2 linked regions of the Alligator mississippiensis genome follow. Each later gene encodes a partner of the first gene's protein in a complex. Links are inferred from orthologs where the notes say so. Each region holds a gene or a part of one and is shown on either strand. Other genes may lie near its edges.

Evidence for each region. Proteins that work in one complex are often made in the same cells at the same time.
Region 2: the proteins of LMAN1 (region 1) and MCFD2 are in contact, whole or in part, in a cryo-EM structure (PDB 8JP5), measured with the Homo sapiens proteins. The link is inferred for Alligator mississippiensis from reciprocal best matches to the Homo sapiens genes LMAN1 and MCFD2. Residues at the interface, in NP_005561.1 of Homo sapiens: His43, Arg44, Arg45, Phe46, Tyr48, Lys49, Ser51, Phe52, Lys53, Pro55, His56, Gln59, Ser60, Asp61, Val64, Pro65, Phe66, Trp67, Lys96, Phe265, Glu273, Lys279, Glu280, Ile281, Glu285, Lys286, Tyr289, Glu292, Phe293, Phe296; in NP_001164977.1 of Homo sapiens: Val59, Ile60, Asn61, Lys62, Gln70, Glu71, Leu74, His75, Phe77, Lys78, Tyr82, Asp83, Asn86, Asp89, Gly90, Leu91, Glu92, Thr95, Thr98, His99, Val100, Leu111, Glu114, Leu117, Ile118, Ile121, Asp122, Leu125, Asp129, Lys130.

What each region holds. Positions count from the first base shown.
Region 1 is NC_081826.1:282,324,082-282,331,581, forward strand, and holds the start of LMAN1 (protein ERGIC-53), read left to right. Parts: upstream 1-4,499; 5' UTR 4,500-4,575; coding exon 4,576-4,762; intron 4,763-6,554; coding exon 6,555-6,709; intron 6,710-6,792; coding exon 6,793-6,900; intron 6,901-7,500. UniProt on the Homo sapiens protein: Mannose-specific lectin. May recognize sugar residues of glycoproteins, glycolipids, or glycosylphosphatidyl inositol anchors and may be involved in the sorting or recycling of proteins, lipids, or both.
Region 2 is NC_081824.1:199,638,615-199,646,412, forward strand, and holds the start of MCFD2 (multiple coagulation factor deficiency protein 2), read right to left. Parts: upstream 3,007-7,798; 5' UTR 2,793-3,006; intron 2,685-2,792; exon of another isoform or gene 2,592-2,684; intron 2,589-2,591; exon of another isoform or gene 2,514-2,588; intron 1-2,513. UniProt on the Homo sapiens protein: The MCFD2-LMAN1 complex forms a specific cargo receptor for the ER-to-Golgi transport of selected proteins. Plays a role in the secretion of coagulation factors.

The DNA.
Region 1 (7,500 bases):
CTCCCTGGAGTTCCCCTGATTTTTGGTGTGGTAGATACTGTGTTTGTATAAATTCTAGTTTTCCTCTTCAGCTAAGGGTCTCAGAAGCTTATGTGGAGTCTTTGTTACTGGCAAACAAGAAGAAATTATGAATATAGGTACCCATCAGTACAGAAAAGTTATATTAACTAATAAGAGATTTGCCTGACAGTATGGTTACTAAGAATAACTGAACTGATTTGCAAATTGTTGCCTTCTGACAGTTTAACTGCCAGACACTGGAGATTTACATACTGTAACAGGCTCCCATGATTAGCCAAATGCCAAGAAACTGAATAACCAGAAGGAAAATTTGGAGTTTTGCAAATAACTATACATCATCACTGTTCCTGAACTCTGGTTGAGATAAGTTCATTTATTATATAACCACCTAATAGGATTGTCTTTTTGTCTACGTATCTGTTTGCATGCCCCTTGCAGGATGGGATATCAGACCTGTTCGTGTGTGAGACAGAGATCATTTTGTTTTCTAGTGCTCTCATTTTACTAGAGTAGTCAGTTGCAATTCAGTTCAATGATTTTATTCGCGTGACAAGCTAAAAGAGTTACCACCATAACAGGCTCCTGCAGTAAGTGTTGAAAGTTACAATCCCCCCAGAAAGGGCTTGACACTATTAGGCCTCTGAAGCATTTGCCATTATGTTACATTGTAGCAGAGGTCTCTGTTTTTATGCCCTGGCAACCAAAAACTATTTCTGGCCAGACAGGAAGAAGAGTTGAGCTTTCTGTTTCTTGGTTAGCTGGGAGGAAGAAACTGATAGTCCAATCTTCCTCTTCCAGTTGACACACTGATTTTTTTTAAAGCTTCCTCACACTTGCTCCAGAAGTATGAAGGACTATTTTCTTCTGCTCTGTTCCTCCTCCTCCTGCCTCTGGTCACCCCATCCCACTGTTACCTCTTTCTGCCATTTATTGCATGAGAGCTTTTCTCTGGAAAGTCATGTTATTTACTTATTTGGATTTACTATTTCTTTCTCCTTGTATCTCTTCATCCCATCTACTCCACATTTTGAACTCTCACCTGAAAACATGTTTTTTTTTCACTGGTAGATGTTTTGTTTCCTTTCCCCTTTGTTATTAATTTGGATCACTGACTAATTTGGATCAGTATGCAAGTTGCATGAAAGATACTATCAATATAAAACTGCATGAGATATTTCTATGCTTTATAATATCATTAACTTTTACCAAGTACTCACACATGCTTATATGACATTGGATTTTTTTAAAAAGTAATTTGAAGGAATACTTTGAATATAAAATATGGTCAGTGTTTGCTTTAATCCCATGTAGTTCATGAAGGGAATGTGCCTTTCTTGACTGATGTCTAAGATCCTATTCTTAGCTACATTAATGCATTTGTATGTTATGTTAAAACAAGCCACCACAGCATCATTTCTTCTGAGCAGGTCCAGATCATCATCCTCTGTATTAGGTTATGAACCCGTATAGTGACTCTTTAAATAACTCACGTTAACTGATTAGGTAAATGGAAAGCTAGGATTCACAGAAGCAAATGAATAAAGACAGGGGAAAGAAGCAGGAAAAGAAGGAAGGAAACTGGAAAAGAAATTTTGCATATTGCTGTGATATGAAAGGAAGCCATAATATAGAACAATATACCTAAAACAAAGTCAGCCATTTCTTGGTAAAATTGGCTGGAAGTCATGGTAGTGAAACAAAGGCAAAAACAACATACCCACAGGGCTTAAAAAAAAGATATGAAGTTGTTAGAGGTATGAAGCCAAACAGCTAGACCTCTTTACAGAAATGCTCCATGCTCTGTACACTCCCCTTTCACAGGCATCCCCCAAAACAAACTGTATGGACCTAATTCTTCAAGATAGAGTCCAGTAGTTTCCAGCACTCACCAGCTTCCATAATAGTGCCCATGCTTAGCACCTTATGTGACCCAAATTTATCTCTAGTGAGGATCTGGCTGCATTTGTTGAAAACAACGAGAGCCTTTCTGTGTCAAGGAAGCAAAAAAGATTTCTGATCATTACAAAAAATATGATCATTCACTAGGACCAAGAGGTGTTGTCACTCCTTTATTCTACAACCACACCTATGATACTATGTTTTGTTATTTCATACCGTACCTCCAATTCCCCCTCCCATCCTATAAAAAGCTGACTTTGAAAGCCAAGTTCCTATGAGAAAATATTGCCATTTTTGTCAAGAACCTTGTTTCTAGAGCACAGGTAATCATCAACGTGTATCCCAGAGATTCACCTCATTAGTGACCATGAATTGTTTGCCTACTTTAATTGTAACATGAAGACACATGTATGAAAGATGCATAGGGTTGAATCAAAATTTTGGGTTGTTTTCAAGCTGGTGCTACGGGAGTGGAATTAACCAGGCAGATCTTGTGGAAGGCCGGGGCCTAGATCAGGTGGCATACGGTCTGCTTAGAGCAGCTGGTAAAACTTGGCTCAGTTCTTTATTTAAGGCAACTATGATCTGGTGCCAAAGTCCTGGCAGTGTGCCGATACGATAGCATGGGTTGTGCCAGGTCTGGGTGGGTTTGTGTCATTCCCACATGGACTCTCTTCTCTAAGCTGCTCAGATGTGAACCCTAAAGCAGGGGAAAGCTGTTTCTGGATACAGGGACCTTCCTCTTCTGGCTGCCTCTTGATTCATAGGAAAAAAGGACCAGCAGGGGATGGGGGTGGGATACACTGGTGCATTTGCACCCTGCTTTGATGTCTGCTCCACCCAACGTTGAAAACTGCCCACAGGTGGCAGCAACATATCTGTTGAGCAGCAAGGAAGGGGTCGATTGACTTCATGGCTCATTATATTCCACCCAGTCCTTCTAAACTCTCCATTCCACCCGTGTTAACGACCCTCCCTCTTTTTATTGGTCTTTATGTTCCACTGAATAAGCTGACAAGGATCTTTGGGTAAATCTGGTATCTTTTATTAGACCAACTAAATAGTTGGAAACTTTTTTCTTAGCAAGCTTTTGGGTTTAAAAACCCCTTGTCAGTTTTTAAACCCGAAAGCCTCCTAAGAAAAATGTTTCCAACTATTTAGTTGGTCTAATAAAAGATATCAGATTTACTCAAAGACCCCTGTCTGCCTGTGTCCTTAGAGCAGCAAACAGGGCTAAAACCTACACCTCTGAATAAGCTGGTCTTTCTTCTGCAGCACTGCTGCCTGTTAACGCTCTTGGTCATGTCTCTCCTGTTTCACAACCCTGCAGCCTCTTTCTTTAACACTGGCTCACGGCATTAATTCAGGGAAGTACTGGAGGCAGTGTCAAGATGCTCAAGAAGGCTTGATTTTATGAAACTGAAAATTTATAATGACTCCAGGACCGATAAAACAGCCTATTTTTACTGTTTTATTTTCGTCTAGTTTATGGGGTGTTTTTAGATGTATAATATATGGCACAGCGAATTTATATTTGCTTTTGCTGCCATCGTAAATTGAAAACTATCCCTGCAGGCCACGGGCTTATTAGTAAAATTTCTAATCACTTTTTCATGTGATAAAAGTGTGCATTATGTTCAGGGATCCTGGTTTTCTCTGATTTAAAAAAAATCCGCAAGTTTCAGTTAAAAAAAAGTAACCTCAAATCTACATTTTTTTGTGATTTAATAAAGATAGATAGATAGATAGATACAGTAATGGTGTTTCATTTACATCAAGGAAAAATGTGGATATATCTCTATAGATATCTATCTATCTACCTATATATATCTCTATATTGGTGACTGAAGTTTCATTTAAATCACAGAAAAATGTGGATTTGAGGTTACTTTTTTAATTATTTAAATTTAATGACTTAATTTTTAAATTTAAATGAAACACCACTATCTATATATCTATCTAAGTATTAGTGATGTTCCATTTAAATCATGGAAAAAAGTGGATTTGAGGTAACTTTTTTTAATTACTGAAATTTTTTAGTTAATTAAAATGACTTAACTTAATTACTTGACTTAATTAAAATGACTTAATTTTAAAATTTAAATGAAACACCACTATCTGTCTATCCATCTATTAGTGGTGTTTCATTTAAATCATGGAAAAATGTGTATTTGGGGTTCCTTTTTTTAACTGAAAGTTGGGGATTTTTTTGAAAGCAAGAAAACCAGGATCCCTGATTCTGTTACATGTGATGACGACTCACTGGACACCCCCCCCCCCCCAACCCCTCTTTCCAAAACCCTGGCTCCCCCACCCCTGCCTGGCAGCTGCCCCGGTGACCCCAACCCCAGATCACTCAGCCCCGCCCCCTCTGACGACATAGGGAGGGGCGGGGCGATGCCGGTGGCTGAACTGCGCGGGGGCCAGGGAGGTGGGCGGGGCTTGTGTGCCGACCCGCCTGAAGCCACTGGCAGCAGGGGAGGGGGCGTAGCAGAGGTGGGCGGGACTCGCTTGGGCCCCGCCCCCTCCTTATCCGCGCGCGCGGGGCCATGCGGCGGGTGCGTTCCGTTGCCCTTTGCCCGCCCCCCCCTGCGCCGCGCTTAGCCAATCAGGGGGCGCCCTGTTGGCTGCGCCGGGCGGCCGCGGCGGAGCAAGATGGCGGGGGCCGGGCGGGCGCGGGCGTGGGGCAGCCTGTGGCGGCGGCTGCTGCTGGTGCTGCTGGTCTGGGCCGGCGGCACGGGCGCGGTGGGGCCGCACCGCCGCTTCGAGTACAAGTACAGCTTCAAGGGGCCGCACCTGGTGCAGGCGGACGGCGCCGTGCCCTTCTGGGCGCACACGGGCAGTGAGTAGGGGCCCGGCCGGGCAGGGGGGGAAGCCCGCGGGGCTTTGTTCAGTCCTGCCCGCCGCCCCCTAGCCGGACCGGGGCCGGGGCGGCTGCTCTGGCGTGTCCCCAAACCGCTCCCAGCCACCTGCGTTGGGGGGGGGTGTCCGTAAGGGGGCTGAGCACGGTGCAAACAACGGTGGTTATTATCCTTATCTCTGGGGAAAGGGAGCCTGATACTGCAAGTTCGCCAGGCGTCAGGGGACGGCCGGCAGCTCTGGGGCTCAGTAGGGCCGCTGCCGGCAGCTCGTCCCAGCCCAGTGATGATGTGTCACTCGGAGCAGAGCGAAACTTGTGGCCTGGGACCAGCCCTTGAAACGAGTCCCAGAGACAGGGTTTTTTAGAAATCGGGTTAGGCTCATGCCTTGGTTGCGAGAGGGCATGCATTTGCATTGTTTACGGCGTGCTGGTTAGGTAACCTCTCCGTGGTTTGCGGCAGGGTTATGATACGTCTTTATTATACTTCCAGATTGCTGCTTCGCCCATTGGTTGGCTCGGTTTAGAAAACGTGCGGATACGTGCTAGTGGCAGAGCATTGCTCTGTCTCAGGTGCTGCAAATCGCACAGGTGTAGGGCTGCAAGGGACCTCGAGAGGTCACCTAGAGTCCAGCCCCCCACCTGAGGCAGGATCAGCCCTGTCCAAACCACCCTATACAATCCGTAATGGAAATGCCTCCTAAAACTACCCTTAGCCCTGACACAGCACAGACCTAACACCCTAATCTGCCACAGGTAAAGCAGGGGAACCAGAGCAGCCAACGTCCTGCTTCTGTGAAATGTTGTCAGTACATGCTTAAGAGATCCTAGGCAGAAGGTTACCTCCCCTGCTACAGAGGAAGGCAAACCCCCATCATCTGTGCCAGTCTAAACCCCCCCATCATCTGTGCCAGGCCGACCGTGGGGTACAATTCCTGACCCCAGATACAGGGATTGGTCTAACCCAAGACCCTTTGGCCAGGAACCTCCAGCTTATGGTCCTAGCAGGAGCACTGGCGCACCCCAAAGAAGCTGTATATTGACTTTCTGTGAAGGAATTTAATGTAGTTTAATGGGAATATTTGGACATCTTACATATATCTGTGTACTTTTGCTAACTCTATAGACATGGTAAGATGCAGAGAGAGATGACTTTAAGCAGCTCTTTATTAGTGTAAGTTTTTAAATAAATTGGTTGCACATAACTTTTTATTTATTAAATAAATAGAGTATCTAAATGTGCGTTCCAGTAAATCTTCTCTTTAGAACTGTATAACCACCGCACTTAGTGGTCCTAACTGAGATTGGGTTCCCACTGAGTACTTCATGTAATAGCAAGACCAAGTCCAAAAAGTTTAGGGTTTATGTTACCGTGGGCAAGGAGTGCATAAAAGGAAGTAGTGCTTTAGTAGTGGGCACACAAGGTGGGGAAAATAAGTAATCTACCCAAGGTTACGTAGGAACATATGAAAGCAGAAAACTGAATGCTGATCTGCTGCCTTGGAGTCCAGTGCCCCAACCATGAGACCAACCTTCTTCTCATGTTCAGGAACTTTGAATAAGGCACCTGTAAAACATTCAGTAACTTTAGAAAATCCTTCAATGCTTTTAAAAATGGTGAAGTATAGCATATTAATTTTAATATTTAATACTATTTGAAATTGGTTGGCTCAGCAGTGAGAACCATCTACTACGAGGCTAAGGTTAAGTGTTTACAGGTAAAAATCAATTGCTGTGCTTGCTGTTATGTTTAATGCTGGTTTCTTTCCTTTTTCAGATGCCATACCTAGCGCGGATCAGATTCGAATAACTCCGTCACTGAAAAGCCAGAGAGGATCAGTGTGGACAAAAAACAAATCTGTATTTGAAAACTGGGAGGTTGAGGTGACATTTCGAGTGACAGGGAGAGGCCGCATTGGAGCAGATGGACTGGTATATGAATTTGATTTAATTTATACAACAAACTTATTTTCTAAATGTGAATCTTATGACTTGCATTTGATTCTTGTGCACAGGCAATCTGGTTTACTGAAGATCAAGGCCTGGAGGGTCCAGTTTTTGGGGCAGCTGATAACTGGAATGGTGTTGGCATTTTCTTTGACTCTTTTGACAATGATGGAAAGGTTAGTTGGAAACTTCCTCTTACAATAGGGTTGCAAAATGGTCTTACACTTGATGTCTGTTAGTCACACAAAAATATAATAGTTTTGTATTGCTTGTTTGGTTTTTTCCTATATATATTGGTTTAAAAATGACACCCCCCTTTTGTTTCTTAGCTATGTAAAGAAAAAAATGGTTCAAGTTTGAAGGTTGAACCTTGCTTTGCAATTAATCTTCACAGGAAGTAAATTTTTTATGAGGCAAAGGCTTTATTGGGACCCTCTTGCCTTTGGTTGCCTTGTTCTTTACCAGAATTAAATGAGGTGTGGTGTAGTTCAGTGGTTCTCAACCTTTTATGTACCAGGACCCATTCATAAACATCAGTGGCCAGTCCTGAGCCAGTTCCCCTCACTCTCGACCCATTTCCCCCACCACCACCACCCCTCCCCCAACTCGAGGCACCAGCCCACAGTGTGTGGGGCAGGCAGGGTGTGTGTGGGGCATGGGGAGCCCTAAGCAGCCCCTCGCAGGCTGGAACTCTGCCAGCCTACAAGGAAAAAGCCATGGTTTCCAAAGTTTTTTTTTTCTCTTTTAAAAGTGAATCCATTTTTAAAGTTTGTTCA
Region 2 (7,798 bases), on another chromosome or scaffold:
GATGATTCCTGTAAATTGCATTATTCAGTCATATAACATGAAAATGGCATTAATTAAAGTACCCCAAACAATAAGTTCACCTACTAATATGCAAGAGACTAAAAACTCATCACTCAATGCACTTTTATTGTAGTTACTTTCATGGGCATGAAAGCGAGTTTGAAGAGCAGTTCTGCCTACCCCACCAAATTACTGGTAGCCAAGGAATTTGAATGCAAGACAAGTAGTGTTAACATCCTACTGCAGAATCTGGGGCCCTAGGGCCAAGAGGGGACATGACCATTGGTGGCAGCGGTGAGACAGGGCTGTGCAACAGCCCTCAGTAGCCCTGAAGCCACCTGGCCTGCAGCCACTTGTGCACCACCACCACACCCTGGCCCATGGCCACTTGTCCCACTTCTATCACCCTGGTCCAGATCCAGCTCACGAGGAAACCCATAGGCAGGATTCAGGCCCAGGCACAAGGTAGGTTTATCACCCTTGTGATAAATATTGTAATAGAGATAATAAGAATCATGGAATTTAATATAGCCAAGAGCAAAGCAAGTGCTAGTCAGCATTAACACAAATTATGAAAAAGCTAGAAGAGTGAACAGCAGCATGGAACAACCTACCAAAGCAGGTAAGCCTAGAACAGCAGTACAAAGCAATAGGCAGAAAAGGTTCCTTGGGTGAATTTGATATCTTTTATTAGACCAACCCAAATAGTTGGAGAATAGTTATTAAGCAAGCTTTTGGGTTCAAAAACCCTTCAACAGGCTAAGGAAGTTTCAGCAGTTGGTGTGTGCTCTTCCTGGATGGAATGAAAAGTCCTTAGACCAACATGGCTACAACCTAAACCTGTACAAAGTAATACACACTCTCCCTTCCCTACCCTCCTCCCCCAAAAATGAAACAGTCCCCTGCTTCTCATTAGCATTTGTTGGACAAAAGGGTTGATGTTACTTTTGGCTATGGCTGCAGGTCACGTAGCATGTTCTAAAAAAGGAACCACCAGTATCCTTGATAAACCTATGGGCCACTGCCAAGGCAGTACACAGAGTTTGCATAACCTGTGAAAATATTCACAGGTTATGCAAATGTTTCAAGAAAAACACTTGCATAAGGCAAGTGTTTCAAGAAAAAATCTCATTAGGAAACTTTAAACACTACGCTTGTTCACTGAAAAGTTAAAACCAACCCCCTCCCCCCCAACAAAAAAAACAACGTTCCTTAGGACAGCTTCTCTGGGTAAGTAAGAAATGATGCCACTCTCATAGTGCTCGGTATACTGTGTACGGTAGTAGATCCACTAGCAAGGTGCATTTAGACTAAGCAAGTTGTGTATTAGAGAGGCAGGACATTTTGCGGCTTTGATGGGAACTTCTGCATGGCACATTTCGATCTGAGACTGAACAGATGACCTAGGGCTTATCTATGTGTCAAAGTTGCATGAACTTTATACCGGTTAGGACCAGTATAGCTTCCCTATGACTGCCCCACTCCCGTCTCTCTCCCCCTTTCCCTTCTGCCTTCGTATTCATATAGTCTCTTTCTGCCCTTACCCGCTGCTCCCTGTACCTCCTTTCACAGCAGCTGAAGTCAGCTCTAGCTCACAAGCTTGCGATGCAAATATTTATCCATCAGTACCTATATTGACAGACACAGACAGGCAGACATAGCTATACCTACAGATACGCAGATCTTGCCAAACAGACAGATGTACCTATACCTATGGATCTGAAGGTCTTGAAAAACAGATGGACAGATGGACATATCTATACCTACGGACATGTAGACATATCTATACCTATGGATATGTGGATCTTGATAGACAAATGGACAGATGTACCTATACCTACAGATACATGGATCTTGACAGACAGAAAGACAGTCATATCTATACTTATAGATATGCAGATCTTGAAAAACAGATGGACGGACAGACAGATGTACCTATGCCTATGGATACACAGATCTCAACAGACAGACAGGCATACCTATACCTACAGATATGTAGGTCTTGACAGACAGATGCACCTATATCTACAGCTACGTAGATCTTGGAAAAACAGACAGGTGGACAGACACAGATATCCATACCTACAGATATATTGATCTTGATAGACAAACAGACAGATATACCTATACCTCTGGATATGTGGATCTTGATAGACATAAAGACAGCCATAGACATATATATACCTATGGATACTCAGATTTTGAAAAGCAGATGGACAGACAGACAGATGTACCTATGCCTATGGATAAACAGATCTCGACAGATAGATGCACCTATATCTACAGCTACATAGATCCTGGAACAACATACATGTGGACAGACAGCTCTCGATAGACAAACAGATGGACAGACAGACGTACCTATACCTAAGGATATGTGGATCTCGATACACAGACAGATGCACTTATAACTACGGATCCATGGAGCTTGAGAAGCAGATGGACGGACAGATGTACCTAGACCTACAGACACATAGGTCTTGACAGAGAGGCAGAGGGACAGACAGACCCACCTAGTCCTATGGATGCATGGATCTTGATGGACGGACTCTTACACACCAGGTACAGGCAGGCAGACATACAGTACCCACCTGTCCCTACAGATCCGTGGCTACCGCTAGACCGACACCGCAGTACCTACGGAGACGCAGACACAGGCGGCCAGACAGACAGATCCCTACCTGCCCCCGCGCCCCGCCCGCCGAGCCACCGCCTCCCACGTGCTCCGCCAACCGACACTGCAGGGGCCGAGGGACAGTGACGTAGAACCCCCCTCCCCCAGCCGCTCTCACCGCTGCACAGCCGCTGCACTGCTCCTGCCGCGGACTCCGGGCACCGAGCAGGTGTGGTTAGATCTGGCCTGGCTCGGCCACCATCTCCAGCCCCACCTCTGACCCGACGCATGCGCGTGTCGCGCTGCCTGCCCCCATCCTGCCTATTGGCTTCTCCTCGCCCAGGCCGGGCCACGTCACAGTAACTTAGACCTCCGCATAGAACCGCACCTGAATGGACACATCGCCCCAGCCCGCGGCCCCTCCCCTCCCCTGAAGGTTCGGCAGTGGCAAGCGCCCGGCGCCGCTAGCCGCGCCCCTTGCGGAACCAGGGGGCGGGGCGGGGCTTGGGCGTGACGTTGTGCCCAAGAGGCTCTGGTCCTGGGTGGGGGGGTTCTGCGCTGGGCCCTGCTTGGTGCGGCCTGCAGCGGGGCGGGACTACAGCCCCGGCCCCAAGGCTGCAAGGGGCGCCCACAGTCCCCTGCAGGACCCCGGCCTGAGTCTGCACAGAGCCTGCAGCAGCTGCGTGCAATGGAGAGGAGCTGTCAGCCTGGTGCTCAGCCCCCGCAGCTTCCACCCACCCCCGCCCCTCTTCAAATATTTCCATTTGAGTGGAAACCACCTTTTTTTTTTTTTTTTGAGACAGCTGTTAAAAAAAATACCTGCCAGCAGGGAGGCACAGCTGTGTGTGCCACCTTTAGCAATGGCAATCGGGACTCAGCAGAGATGACATCTTTTATTAGACCAAGATTTTTGCAAAAAAAAAAAAAAAATTCTTTAGCAATGTGCGCTTGACTTTTTCCATATATATATATATATATATATATATATATATATATATATATATATATATATATATATATAAAAAAAAGTTTTTCATGTTCCAAGCTAAATCAATTCCAAATCTGTGAGTCATTCAAGAACCATATGTGGCCCTACTACCAGCAAGGCCCTGTTAGCCTCCACCCCTGCCTGGGGGCTTCAAATGCTTCCAAATCCTCTGGCGGGCATCCTAGGTGCAGGCCTAAGCCCTGAAGCATGGGGTTCAGATGCCCCTGAGTTTGGCTTGCCCTCAGCTGTACGGCCTCAGGAGCAAGCTAAGGAGGAGTCCTCCATTTCCATAGTTGTCGCCTAGCCGAGATCCTACCACTGGAAGCTGGGCAGTCAGAAGCTAACTGAGGCTCTCGCAGGGAGTCCTGTCCGCAAGCAGACAAAGGTACAACCCTCCACAATGCCATTTTAATTGCATTACCTCGGTCAGGGTATTTCCCCTGTCACCATTGTGGGTATTTTTCCTGCCAAATAAGTATGTGCACTTGACTTTTTTTTTTTTAAAGAAAATTTTTTGTGTTTCAAGTGAAATCAGCCAAATCAATTTCAAATCCATGAGTCATTCAAGAACCATATGTGGTCCTACTACCAGCAAGCATCCTTCACTCGCACCTGGGGCTTCAGATGCTTCCAAATCATTCGGCAGGCATCCTAGGTGCAGGCCTAAGCCCTGAAGCATGGGGTTCAGGTGCCCCTGAGTTTGGCTTGCCTTCAGCTGTACGGCCTCAGGAGCAAGCTAGGGAGGAGTCTCCCCCTTCTATAAAGTCAGTGTATAGCCAAATTCTTCCCACTGGAAGTGAATGTGGGAGGCTAACTATGCATTACCTCGGTTGGGTATTACCCCCTGCCAATAAAGTGGTTTCCCCCTGCCAGTAGGAAAACCACCGTAGTGGTCATGGTATTTCCAGCAATGGATGAAGGGAGCAGTAGCCTGGGAAAGCTTGTGGCTAATGTAGAGAGATGGATAGAGAGACAGGTCTCTATGCCTGTAAATGGAGCTCACCCACAGAAGCTTCGGATGGATAGGTGTCTTCGCCTGTAAAAGTACAGCTATTGACATATAGCTAGACAGATAAATAGATCTTTGCATGGATAGGTATTGATATATGTGTGCCTGTAGCTATAGGTATGTAGAAAAACACTCACAAATCTTGGTATTATTTTGCCAGCCACCTCTACTTCTTCGCTGTCTGGCTGCTCGGCATCACCCCTCTCCAAGGACTGAGATCTTGCAGTGGTGGGGAGGCTCGTGTGTCCCAATGACCCTCTGAGCTATGTTGCCCAGAGTCATACTCCTGGCTAGGTCATCAATGGAGAACAGGCCTGCGGCGAGGTTCCAGGCAAACCGTGATCCAACCCCAAGTCCTAAATGGTGGCTCAGGCAGGAGATGATGTCAGGATCTCTACAGCTGTAAACATGGAAAAGGGATGCAGCAGATGGAGGTCTCCTATCGTTTAGAGCAGGGGTTCCCAAACTTTTTATGCTGCGGACCGGCAAATTGCGGACCAATGGTGAATGGCATACTGCGGACAAGCAGCCAACCCGTTTTTATATTCAGCCACTTCTGGGCTTCTGCTCTGGCAGCCAACCCTCCTGCAGACTGGCAGCCAACCCTTCACGGCCAGGTACCGGGCCACGGCCTGGGGGTTGGGAACCTCTGGTCTAGGGTTTTCCCTTGCTGTTAGGCTCAGATCTCCACCTCATCAAGATCATGTGGTTACTGTTGCTGTGCACCAGGTTCCTTGTGTTAAACAAAGTCAGGTGCCAGCTTCTACCACAGGAAATAACACATTGGGTATCATGCCATCCAGAGATGTGAGGGGTGGTGGCCACTTTTACAGACTGCTTTGGGCCTATGTGATCATGCACATCATAGCAAGTGGATCTCAAGCTGGGGAGCCCAGTTATGATCTGAATAACCTGTGCAATCTGATGAATGTTATATCTGATTCTGCTCCACCAAGGAGCTGCAGGATTGGGGTAGAGATTGGAGGGGTGGTATTGGTTTGGAGGCTTTTCTTATTTCAGCTGAGGGATTGTATTTTTGTGTTTTTTTTCCTTTCATGCACTGTGCGTGTTAAATGTCAGGCTTCTCACCTACACAGTACATGTTTCCGGAGCTTGCTGGTTTGATTGCTTCAGAGGTGATCTTCAGAGTTCTTTACTTCTATTAGTGTCACTGTAACAGGGAATTCATACCCTGTTACCTGGGGAGTAAGGGAAGGGAAGGAAAAAAAATGGTGGCAGGGAGCTAGGAGGCCCTGGCCCCTTTAGGAGAACTCAGTGGGCTCAGCTGGCCCTGGCTGCAGGAGGGCAGGCTTCCTCTTGATTGACAGGGAAAGCCCTGTGCAGAGCTCCAAGAGGCACCTGATCAAAATGGGGCATGGCTCCCAGCCATATAAACCCAGGGCCTGAGTTAAAGCAGTCAGTCTGGCTTTGGGAGCTGTTGAGGAAAGAGCTCTAGGACAGGAGAGCTGCAGAGGAGCTCCTGGCTGACAGTTATAGCTAGAGTGCTTATTTTGGGGGTTAGGGTTTTATGCTGGTAGACCAGGTTGTGGCTACAAAGGGCAGATGAGGCCAGGGGGGGGCACCTAAGGGACACACCTAGAACTGAGCCAGAGTGGGGTGCTTGAGGTAGGTGGCACACAGAGGCTTAAAGCCATAGTGGTGCCTCAGCAGTACAAGCTGTTTTTGAGCCCTGCCAGGGGCTGGGGCTCATGATGGGCAAGTGGAGTCGAAGTAGGGTGACCACCTGTCCCTAGCTGGGCAGGACTTCAAGTCTTGGTCCTGGGCTGCATGATTCTGGGACAGCATTTGTTCTAGATTCACAGTATCTGCAGGGATTTTGAAAAGGCTGCCAGCCTGCAAAGGGCTGACAGGTGGTGAATGACTGGGGGGTGCTATGTGCATGTGTGTGCCCCCACACATTCACGTGGCCAGAAAATACAGCTGAGAAGCATGAAGAGCCTCTCCCTGCAGGTATATCTGTGGGGGAGAGGGGGCATGGGAGATCAGAGGGGGTGCAGATTGAGGCCCCCACAGTGACAGATGGAGTGGGGCAGGGGTGGATGTGGGCTGCTCACTGGGGGCTTGGGGCTTGCTGCCCTGCCCCCGGGGGGCCCACAATGGCTGTGCCACCTTGGTGAGGTACCCCTTGCCCACCTGGCAGCAATGGGGACAGTGGTGGCATGGAGTTGTGGCCCTGCTGCTGAGGGAAAGGCAGCAGGGTGGGGAGCCCTGAGCCTGCAGTTGGCAGCCCAAATCCAGCACCTGCTCCGCTTGCCTCTGCTCGGCTCTGGTCCAGCTGTGGTGGCAGTGGCAGTAGGGAGGGGGGTGGGAGGAGGCAGGCATGTGTACTGCCTTCCACTTTGGAAAAGGTGGTCACCTTAAGGCCAAATGAGCCAGGATCATATTACACCGGTAGTAGAGGTGGCCTGAGGCCAAGAGGGCTAAGGGTCAAAGCCTGAAAAGGGGGAATTGGGGGCCAGGAGCTTAGAGCAAAGAGACAAGGGCCAAGGGCCCAAGCTGAGTGAGATGGGCCAAGGGTCAGATAAGGCTGAGATTCAGAAGCCAAGCCTAGAGGGAACGGGCCTAGGCTGGCAGTTTGCAGCAAAGTGACCAGCAGGCTAAAACTAAGAGGGCTGAAGCCCCTACAAGCTGATGCATCAGTCTAGACTGACACCTGTGAGGCATGGGTGTGACTATGGGGGCAGCTGGAGGTCACAAATTTAGGTCTTAAGGCATGTAGGGCTGGAGAATGATGCTGAGATGGAGAAAGTGCCTAGGCTTATACCAGGTCTCCAAGGCAGCCTCCCCTTGTTACTTTAACAACCAGGTGTGGCAGGAAAGGAATCAGGGTGATACTCTGGGAGGCTGGAGTGGGAGCAGGACAGGATAGAGATGATTTAAAAAAAAAAACAACAACAACAAAAAAACAAAGGAGTGGGGGGGGTAAAATACTGCCTCACTTGTTATAATCACCCTAACCTTTGTTTATATGTATCTTTACAGACATGTCTCTTACCTTGGGTTGGAAACATGCCAATCTATTCCTTCTCGGCCTCTTGTCGGCTCAGATCGAGCGTAGTCCTATGCTTGCCTGGCAAGGGAAACACTGTGACTGCTGGGGCGGTCTCCTTAGTTGCACCTGGGGAAGACCGCTCTCCTGATACAGGGATAGTACCTGCCAAGGTAA